Caenorhabditis elegans: one gene and its partner. The protein of the gene in region 1 interacts with the protein of each later gene in a pairwise test. Each region holds a gene or a part of one and is shown on either strand. Other genes may lie near its edges. The genes, in order: idpc-2 and scrm-8.

What was found.
Region 2: the proteins of idpc-2 (region 1) and scrm-8 interact in a two-hybrid assay, tested with the Caenorhabditis elegans proteins (one large-scale study listed by BioGRID).

The regions. Positions count from the first base shown.
Region 1 is NC_003283.11:8,619,193-8,623,003, forward strand, and holds idpc-2 (Intrinsically Disordered Protein, class C), read right to left. Parts: upstream 2,122-3,811; 5' UTR 2,105-2,121; coding exon 2,079-2,104; intron 1,940-2,078; coding exon 1,903-1,939; intron 1,720-1,902; coding exon 832-1,719; 3' UTR 733-831; downstream 1-732. Other genes in the region: grd-5 (Ground-like domain-containing protein), read left to right, coding at 252-481; F41E6.1 (uncharacterized protein), read left to right, coding at 3,599-3,631, 3,682-3,789.
Region 2 is NC_003282.8:4,162,809-4,167,053, reverse strand, and holds scrm-8 (Phospholipid scramblase), read right to left. Parts: upstream 2,363-4,245; 5' UTR 2,333-2,362; intron 2,279-2,332; 5' UTR 2,276-2,278; coding exon 2,057-2,275; intron 2,009-2,056; coding exon 1,649-2,008; intron 1,252-1,648; coding exon 1,065-1,251; intron 1,018-1,064; coding exon 878-1,017; 3' UTR 824-877; downstream 1-823. Other genes in the region: scrm-5 (Phospholipid scramblase), read right to left, coding at 2,631-2,770, 2,828-3,014, 3,900-4,245.

The DNA of each region.
Region 1 (3,811 bases):
GAAAAACGTCGAATTACAATTAGCTTGCTATCACATCCAATCTCATTAGGAAATGAGAATCAGGCGCTAGCTAGCGATCAAATAGAAAGGAAAATATAAAATTTTTATCCGAAGATGACGCGAAATGAATTGATCGATGTAGTAAGAAAATGTTCACAAAATAATCAGGCTATATAGAGAAAATATAGAAAAATGATACGGGCTTGCAAAATTAAATATAATTTTGGTTACATAAAAAATAAAGTTTTCAGGTTTCACTTGCTGTAACAAGGAGCTCGAGTCAGCCATGAAAGGAGCCATGGGAGGAGATGACTTGCTCGGATCAGCCGATTCCATTCAAAAGGGAGCCGAAGGATCTCTCGGAGGAAAATTCGAGACTGTCGTCGCTCTCGATGACTTTGCCTACAAATCTCATTTCAAGGAGGGAAAATCTTGCAAGATCGAGAAGAACGGACAATACGCTCTTGCATGGCAGCCATAAGCAGTTGGCTTATATCCTTTCGTTTTCTTTACTGGTTCCAGCGACTTTCATTTTCTGTACATTTCTCATTTTGAAATTCCCCAACTGATGACGATCCCCAACTCCCCCATTCCTTGCTTATCTCATATTGCTTTTCAGTTATTTTTCAAGTTCCACACGGCACATTTTTTGTATAAATGAAAATTTTCATTGAAAATATTCGTTTTGCATTCTTCAAGTTTGGAGTGATATTTGACAGATTTCGATTAGTTAATTTAGGAAATTGTTTATTTCAATGAATTAACAAATACTTAAAATTACAATTAACTAGCAATATGGCAAATGTACAGATATTGAGACACTAAAAATCCTTAAGCAGTCTTCTTCTTCTCTTCAGTGGCAGCTGCGGCGGCGGCGGCGGCCTTCTTTCCCTTGTTGGATCCCAAAAGGTACATGGCTCTTCTGAATGGAGATGGGGCATAAGCTGGAGCATAAGATGGAGCATATGCTGGAGCGTATCCCTGAGCGTATGCTGGAGCGTATCCTTGAGCATATCCTGGAGCAGCAGCGACTGGAGATCTAAGCACATATGAGTATGGGTTGTAAGCTGGAGCATATCCTGGAGTTCCTTGGTATCCGTATGGGTTGTAAGCTGGGCATGGTGGTTGAGCACAGGCTGGAGCTGGAGCATAGACTGGCATTGGTCTTGGAGCTGGTTGAGCGTAGACTGGAGTGGCAGCTGGAGCTGGGCATGGTGGGACAGCGCAGTATGTTGGTTGGTAGACTGGAGTTGGGACTGGAACTGGGACTGGAACACGGATTGGGACTGGAACTTGAACTGGGACTGGTACTGGAACATGTTGGATCACTGGTTGAGGGGCAACTGGAGCTGGGCATGGTGGAGCGGCACAGGCATATGGCTCATAGACTGGAGTCGGTGGTGGGCATGGTGGGGCAGCGCATGCATATGGCTCGTAAACTGGAGCTGGAGCTGGGACTGGAGCAACTGGCTCAGGAATGTATGGAAGTGGGCATGGTGGAGTAGCACATGGATATGGATTGTATGCTGGAGCTGGTGCTGGTGGAGCAACTGGCATCGGCTCAACAACAATGCATGGAGGATTGGCGCATGGGTATGGGTTGTAAGCTGGAGCTGGTGCAGGCATTGGTGGGGGTGGAAGTGGAGCATATTGAGGTGGACACGGAGGAGTAGCACACACTGGCATGGGCTCTGGACATGGTGGAGTAGCACAGTTTAGCTGTAATTCGAAAGTGTAAGTCAAGATTATTAACACTATTTTGCACAGATTGTCTGAAGTAATAATATTCTGTTAGATGTAGAATCGGAATTTCTATTAATTTCGAAAATATGTTAGTACTATGTTTCTTGAGCTCTTTTTTGTAAAATGTTGCGGAGGATCATGAAAAAAGATGGAACTTACAGATAAGACTTGAGCTTGCGAAGCCGATGCGATGACCCTGCAAAATTATTTGGTTTTTTATTTGTTTTTCCAGTGTTCAATGATCTGGAAATCGTATAGACTAGTATAATAGTAGTACGAAAATGACCAGTGGTCAAGTCAATTTTAGATATTAGTCAATGATATGGTTGACTCACAGAAGTAGTCCGATGGCTGAATGCATGATTGGCTGAATAAAGGAAAGAAAAGGAGAAAAGACGAAGAAGCCGATGAATTAGTGCCACCGTTCGGCTGCTTTTATACCATTTTCATCGAATTGGCACCTTTCTTTCCGTATCGCAACTTTTTGCAATCATTAGGCCGGTGAGCAAACAAATACACTGACGTTTCATGCAGAATGGGGAAAAGTGGGAGGGAAGGCATGGTTGACAGGTTCATCGACGACCGGATTACCTTTTTATTCATATATGAATCCATTTTGACAGTTCTAGAACTTTGTTAAACTTTTAACATTCATCGGAAAGAAGATGATTTGATTTAGTTAAGCGACGTTTTTGTGAAAAGTTCGAAAGTGCGGATTTCCGGAAGTAATTGAAATTGAAGACTCGGTACACATGTTCTCACATGTTTGTATTTTAGTGTTTGTTGTTTACACAAAGTTTGATCTTAGAAAAAATCTTGATTTGGAGAACTTGGAAAACAAAAAGAAACAAGACGCGTCGATATGATCGTCATTGGGATCCATCGATGTTTGCAAGATTTATTGAAATAATAAAATCATCTTCAACACAAACAGGACCACCAAAAAACCTCTTGTACATTTTGTAAAACTACTAAAAGTATGATAGAATAAGCCGTCAATCGAAAAATTCTAAAATAATTTTTGAGTAATATTTCTGTAGGTTATAAAACTTCCTCGAATTGAAGTGTTATATAAATATTTGTACCTAAAAATTTTGACACAGCGGTTTCAAAAGTGTTTGGTTTTTGATGGTAATGTATTTTTATGGCAGTATACTGCAGTATCTATTTATCTTGAAATCTCAGTCCAACACCTCAATTGAGCATTGTATGCAGAACGGAAATACGGTACATGTTTTTAATGTAAAATATTGTTTTACAAAAACCATTAGTTTTCAAGTTAAAGACCAAACAATTGTCATTCCGGAAAGTGTGAATAATAACTCAAAAAATACCAGGAAATCCACATACAGTTGAAAGAACGAAGATTGCTGAAAGAAATTCAAAAAGATTGAACATTATTGTCGAAAAAAAAAATGTTTTTTTGTTCATTTTGTGTTACACTTATGTATTTGGAATTTTTGAACCCAGAATGGTAAATTATCTTAAGAAAACTACAGTCTATTTTTTATTTCCCAATTCATTTTTCGATTCTTGCTTCGTTTTCGTTCACAAAAACGTCAACCACTTCAATTCCGGAAAGTGTGAAGTGTGTATTCTCTTTCTACAACTGTTCTCATTTCTTTTTATTATACTTTTGCTCTTTTCTAGAATTAAGCTGCGTTCTGGATTTATTTGAAAGAAATGCCATAAAAGGAGTCGAATAAACATTAGGACGTGACAAAAAAAGTAACCAAAAACTCATTATATAGAAATTAAAGTGTATGACATTTTCCACGGAAAGTTGATTCATACTAAAACAATTCATTTAAAATCCAGTATTCAATAGGTTTTCGGCAAAGAATTAATAAGAAATATGCATGATGCGATTTATTTAATCTTCATTCAGGTAATCCACAAAAGTTCATTCTTTCAGATTTTTAATCGCTTATTTTTCAGAACTTTGTTCTTGGTTTATTTATAACTGGTTCAATGCTGGTTCAGTGTGCAGGTGGGAAGAAAAAGAAAGGAAATCGTAGAATGGACGACGATGATGCTGATGAAAAGGTAAATGCATTACTAGTTCAAA
Region 2 (4,245 bases), on another chromosome or scaffold:
CGCGACACGCAACGCGACACGCAACGCGACACGCAACGCGACACGCGACGCGACACGCAACGCGACACGCAACGCGACATGCAACGCGACACGCGACGCGACACTCGACGCGACACGCAACGCGACACGCGACGCGACACTCGACGCGACACTCGACGCGACACTCGACGCGACACTCGACGCGACACTCGACGCGACACTCGACTCGACGCGACACGCAACGCGACACGCAACTCGACACGCAACGCGACACGCAACGCGACACGACACGCAACGCGACACGCAACGCGACACGCAACGCGACACGCAACGCGTCGTAAGGTTACTCACCGTCATCTGAACCGGCATTGCTGCGACCATATTCGGCACCTCCATCGGAGTATCCCGTGGCTGTGGAAGTCTCCCGCCGCCACGCATCATTCCAGCTTCCGCTCGGCTCTTCGGTGGCTCCTTTTCGGATTTCTCAGTTGAAGTCGCACAGCTGACTGGCTGCTCTCCGGGTTGTTTATTCATTTTTATTGGTTTCTGGAAAAGTTGGAAGGTTTTGGGGTCCCAGAAAGAAGCGATAGAAAACTCACATTCGATGACGATGAACAATAGTAGGAATGGGAGATTATGTTGGGAGAAGATGTTACGTGAGGGGTGGAAAAGGGGTCACGTTGAAAATTTGAATTTTCATCCAGATTACAAAGCTTTTTTTTTAAATAAAAATCAACTACTTCTTGGGATGTACGGGAAAAATCTAAGCACTTGTGCCCAAAAAACAGAATTATCTTCTGAAAAAAGTGAGCTTGTAATTACAGAAAAGCTAGCTATAAAACTGTGGAGAAAAAACTAGTTTATTCTAGTTTGCAAGTGAAATGGGCTCATAAAAAATTCAAAAGCTGCTATGCATTCCGCCATGCATCCCACCATGATGATGACGATCCTGGTTACGATCCTCAAAGTAGGTGAAGTCGATCAAGAAAACCGAGGTGACGAGCAGAAGCTTCAAGATTGGCGGCATGTCCATTGGAACTGAAATATATCGGAATTCAGATAGAATTCGGATCTTAAGAACTTACAATGAACAATATAGGTGTCCGCATCGGTGAACATCTCCTGCATGAATCCCGGGTAGAGGCGGACGATTTCTCCGACGAGTGCGCCATTGTAGGTCATAACTGGAAATTTCTGAGTACCACCACAGCCAGCACAAACTGGAGATTGGATGAGCAGGGGCTGGTTGCAGCCGGATCCGATGAGCTCGAACTAAAAGAATCTAGGACTAGCAAATGAAAGGTGTTAGGTATAAGAATTCCCTTGTGATAGCTCGGAACAATTTAGATCCCTAGATCATCGACTAACAACCCTACTTTCACAAAATGATCGGCATAGGACGTGGCATTGTGGTTTTATCGGGGTATCATGATGTCCCATATGATCTACAATATTGAGACGCACAGTTTTGGCACACTTTTCTGGGCGGAAAACACCCGCATTTTTTGTAGATCGTACCGGTATGAGACAGCCTGACACCACTTTAGGACTGTTCACAATGTATTGTTAAAATGTTTCCTATATTCTCATGCCTCTATAAATGTTAGGGTACTGTAGTTTAATGTAGTACTGTAGTTATTACTGGCGGTGGTTATCGTCCAAAACTCACGTTAGGATTACAGCACTCCCTCTTCATCATCCCAATCTGCTGATCGAGGAACTGGGTGCTCAGGAAATCATCGCATGAGCAGCATGGTCTTCCTCGAAAGCAAGTCATCACCTGGGCTCCGTGCGTATCCATGATCTGCATTCCGAAGTTACGATTGTTTCCGTGGTACTGACGAGCAAAGACGTTTGATCTTTCCATACAATAAAGCAGCGGACGACAGTACATGTCGTGGACCACATAGCGATTTGGAGTCTCGAATCCGGTGAAGATCTCGAGCGGTTCGATGCATTGGACAACCATCAGAGAGTTGGTATGGGCGATTGCGCTGAGGATGTTGTTGCTGGCAAGCTGAACGAAGCCCTGAAAAGTCAGAATTTAGAGCGGTCACCATTAGCTAGAATGACTTACAGTCATCTGAACCGGCATCGCTGCCACCTGATTCGGAATTTTCATTGGCGTCGATCTCGCCGCTGGCAGCTTCGTTCCAGCATTGTTTCTTCTACCGAACCCCGCTCCCTCGGCACGTGGCTCATCCTTCTTTGAATCCTGCTCAACCTCCTCAGGTGACTTCACCGCGGACGTTAAGCTAATTGCTTTCAATGGTAGCTGTCCCGGTTGAATATTCATTTTCTGAAAAAATTATGCGGGTTTTGAGGGAAAACCAAGAGAAATAAGAAAACTCACATAGAAAAGTGTTGGTCACAAGTCGGAAATAAATTAATTTTGAAAATCTGATCTGATTGTACTATGTGGAACTTCACGTCAGATTTAAATTTCTGTTGGAAAAAAATAGGAAATTATCTGCGGAATTGTTGTCTGCTGCACGTGTATTAGTTATCGCAATTTTAACAAGTCATTTGTGCCCAGAAAACGCAATCTTTTGCTGAGAAATTATCAGCTAGTAGGTATAGTAAGAAGAAGCCAGAAAAAACTAGTTTATTCTAGTTTGCAAGTGAATTTGTGAACAGGATCCTTTATAAGTTTAGAAGCTGCTATGCATTCCGCTATGCATTCCGCCGTTACGATGTTGATCCTGGTTACGATCCTCGAAGTAGGTGAAGTCGATCAGGAAAACCGAGGTGACAAGCAGAAGCTTCAAGATTGGCGGCATGTCCATTGGGACTGAAATATTCCAAAATTAAGATAGAAAAGATCAGAAGCTTAGAATAAAATGCTTACAATGAACAATATAGGTGTCCGCATCGGTGAACATCTCCTGCATGAATCCCGGGTAGAGGCGGACAATTTCTCCGACGAGCACACCATTGAAGGTCATCACTGGGAACTTCTGGGTGCCACCACAGCCTGCACAACCTGGAGATTGGATGAGCAGGGGCTGGTTGCAGCCGGATCCGACGAGCTCGAACTGAAAGAAAAGGTTAATAGGATGTGTCTCAAGGAGGATGGGAGATTCAGGTGAAGAGCTAATAAAGCTTCAGCCTATAGGAACGATTGCTCTGATCAGGGGTGTGCGGCAAGTTTGGCGAATTTGGCGAATTTGCCGCGTTAAAAATTCAGTAGTTTTGGTGCTTCAAAAAACATCAAATTTTTCGGAGTTAGTTGAGCTCGGCAAATTTGCCGAGTTTGCCCTTGTACAAGGTGTCATGCTAGTCCCGATGTTGCCGTTCAGCGGTATATAGATATAGATCTATAGATCTACGTATAGTGCAATTGTATAGTGCAATTTATATCTGTAACTTGGTACATTGGTGACGTACGGTCCTTCCGCCTTGCTCTGTGTTTCTCTCTTTTAGTGTGTCAATGCCTAGCCGCTGGGCGGCAGAGCAAAGGCGTGAAACCTGTACGTCTATGTACCAAGTAATAGGCTTTCTAGATAAACATCTTAATACTGAAAGACATTTGGACAGTCTAGTAACCTATAGTCTATATCTATGTCAGTACAAACTTGGCACATTGCAACCTACAGTCCTTCCGCTTTGCTCTCTTTTGTGTATCAATGTCTTGCGGCTGGGCGGCAGAGCAAAGCGGAAAGACTCTAGGTTGCTATGTGCCAAGTTACAGATATATTATAGATCGGACTATAGATAGGGCATCAGGGGTGTGCGGCAAATTTGCCGTTTGCCGAGCACTGCAAGTTTCAAAATTTGCCGCACAGCCCTGGCTCTAAGCTCGATCAAGATTGATGCAAACTCAGATCAGCGAAAAGATCTCTTTTGAGAAAAATGTGATTTTTCCAAAGAATGCTTCAGGGCTCTGGATTACTGTAGTTTTACTTGATACTAGCACTCACATTAGGATTGCAGCACTCCTTCTTCATCATCCCAATCTGCTGATCGAGGAACTGGGTGCTCAGAAAATCATCGGTCGAGCAGCATGGTCTTCCTCTGAAGCACGTCATCACCTGAGCTCCGTGGGTATCCATGATCTGCATTCCGAAGTTACGATCGTTTCCTTCGTACTGACGAGCGAAGATGTTCGATCTTTCCATACAATAAAGCAGCGGGCGGCAGTACATGTCATGGACCACGTAGCGATTCGGAGTTTCGAATCCGGTGAAGATCTCGAGGGGTTTGATGCATTGGACAACCATCACAGAGTTGGTATGGGCAATGGCGCTGAGAATGTTGTTGGCGACA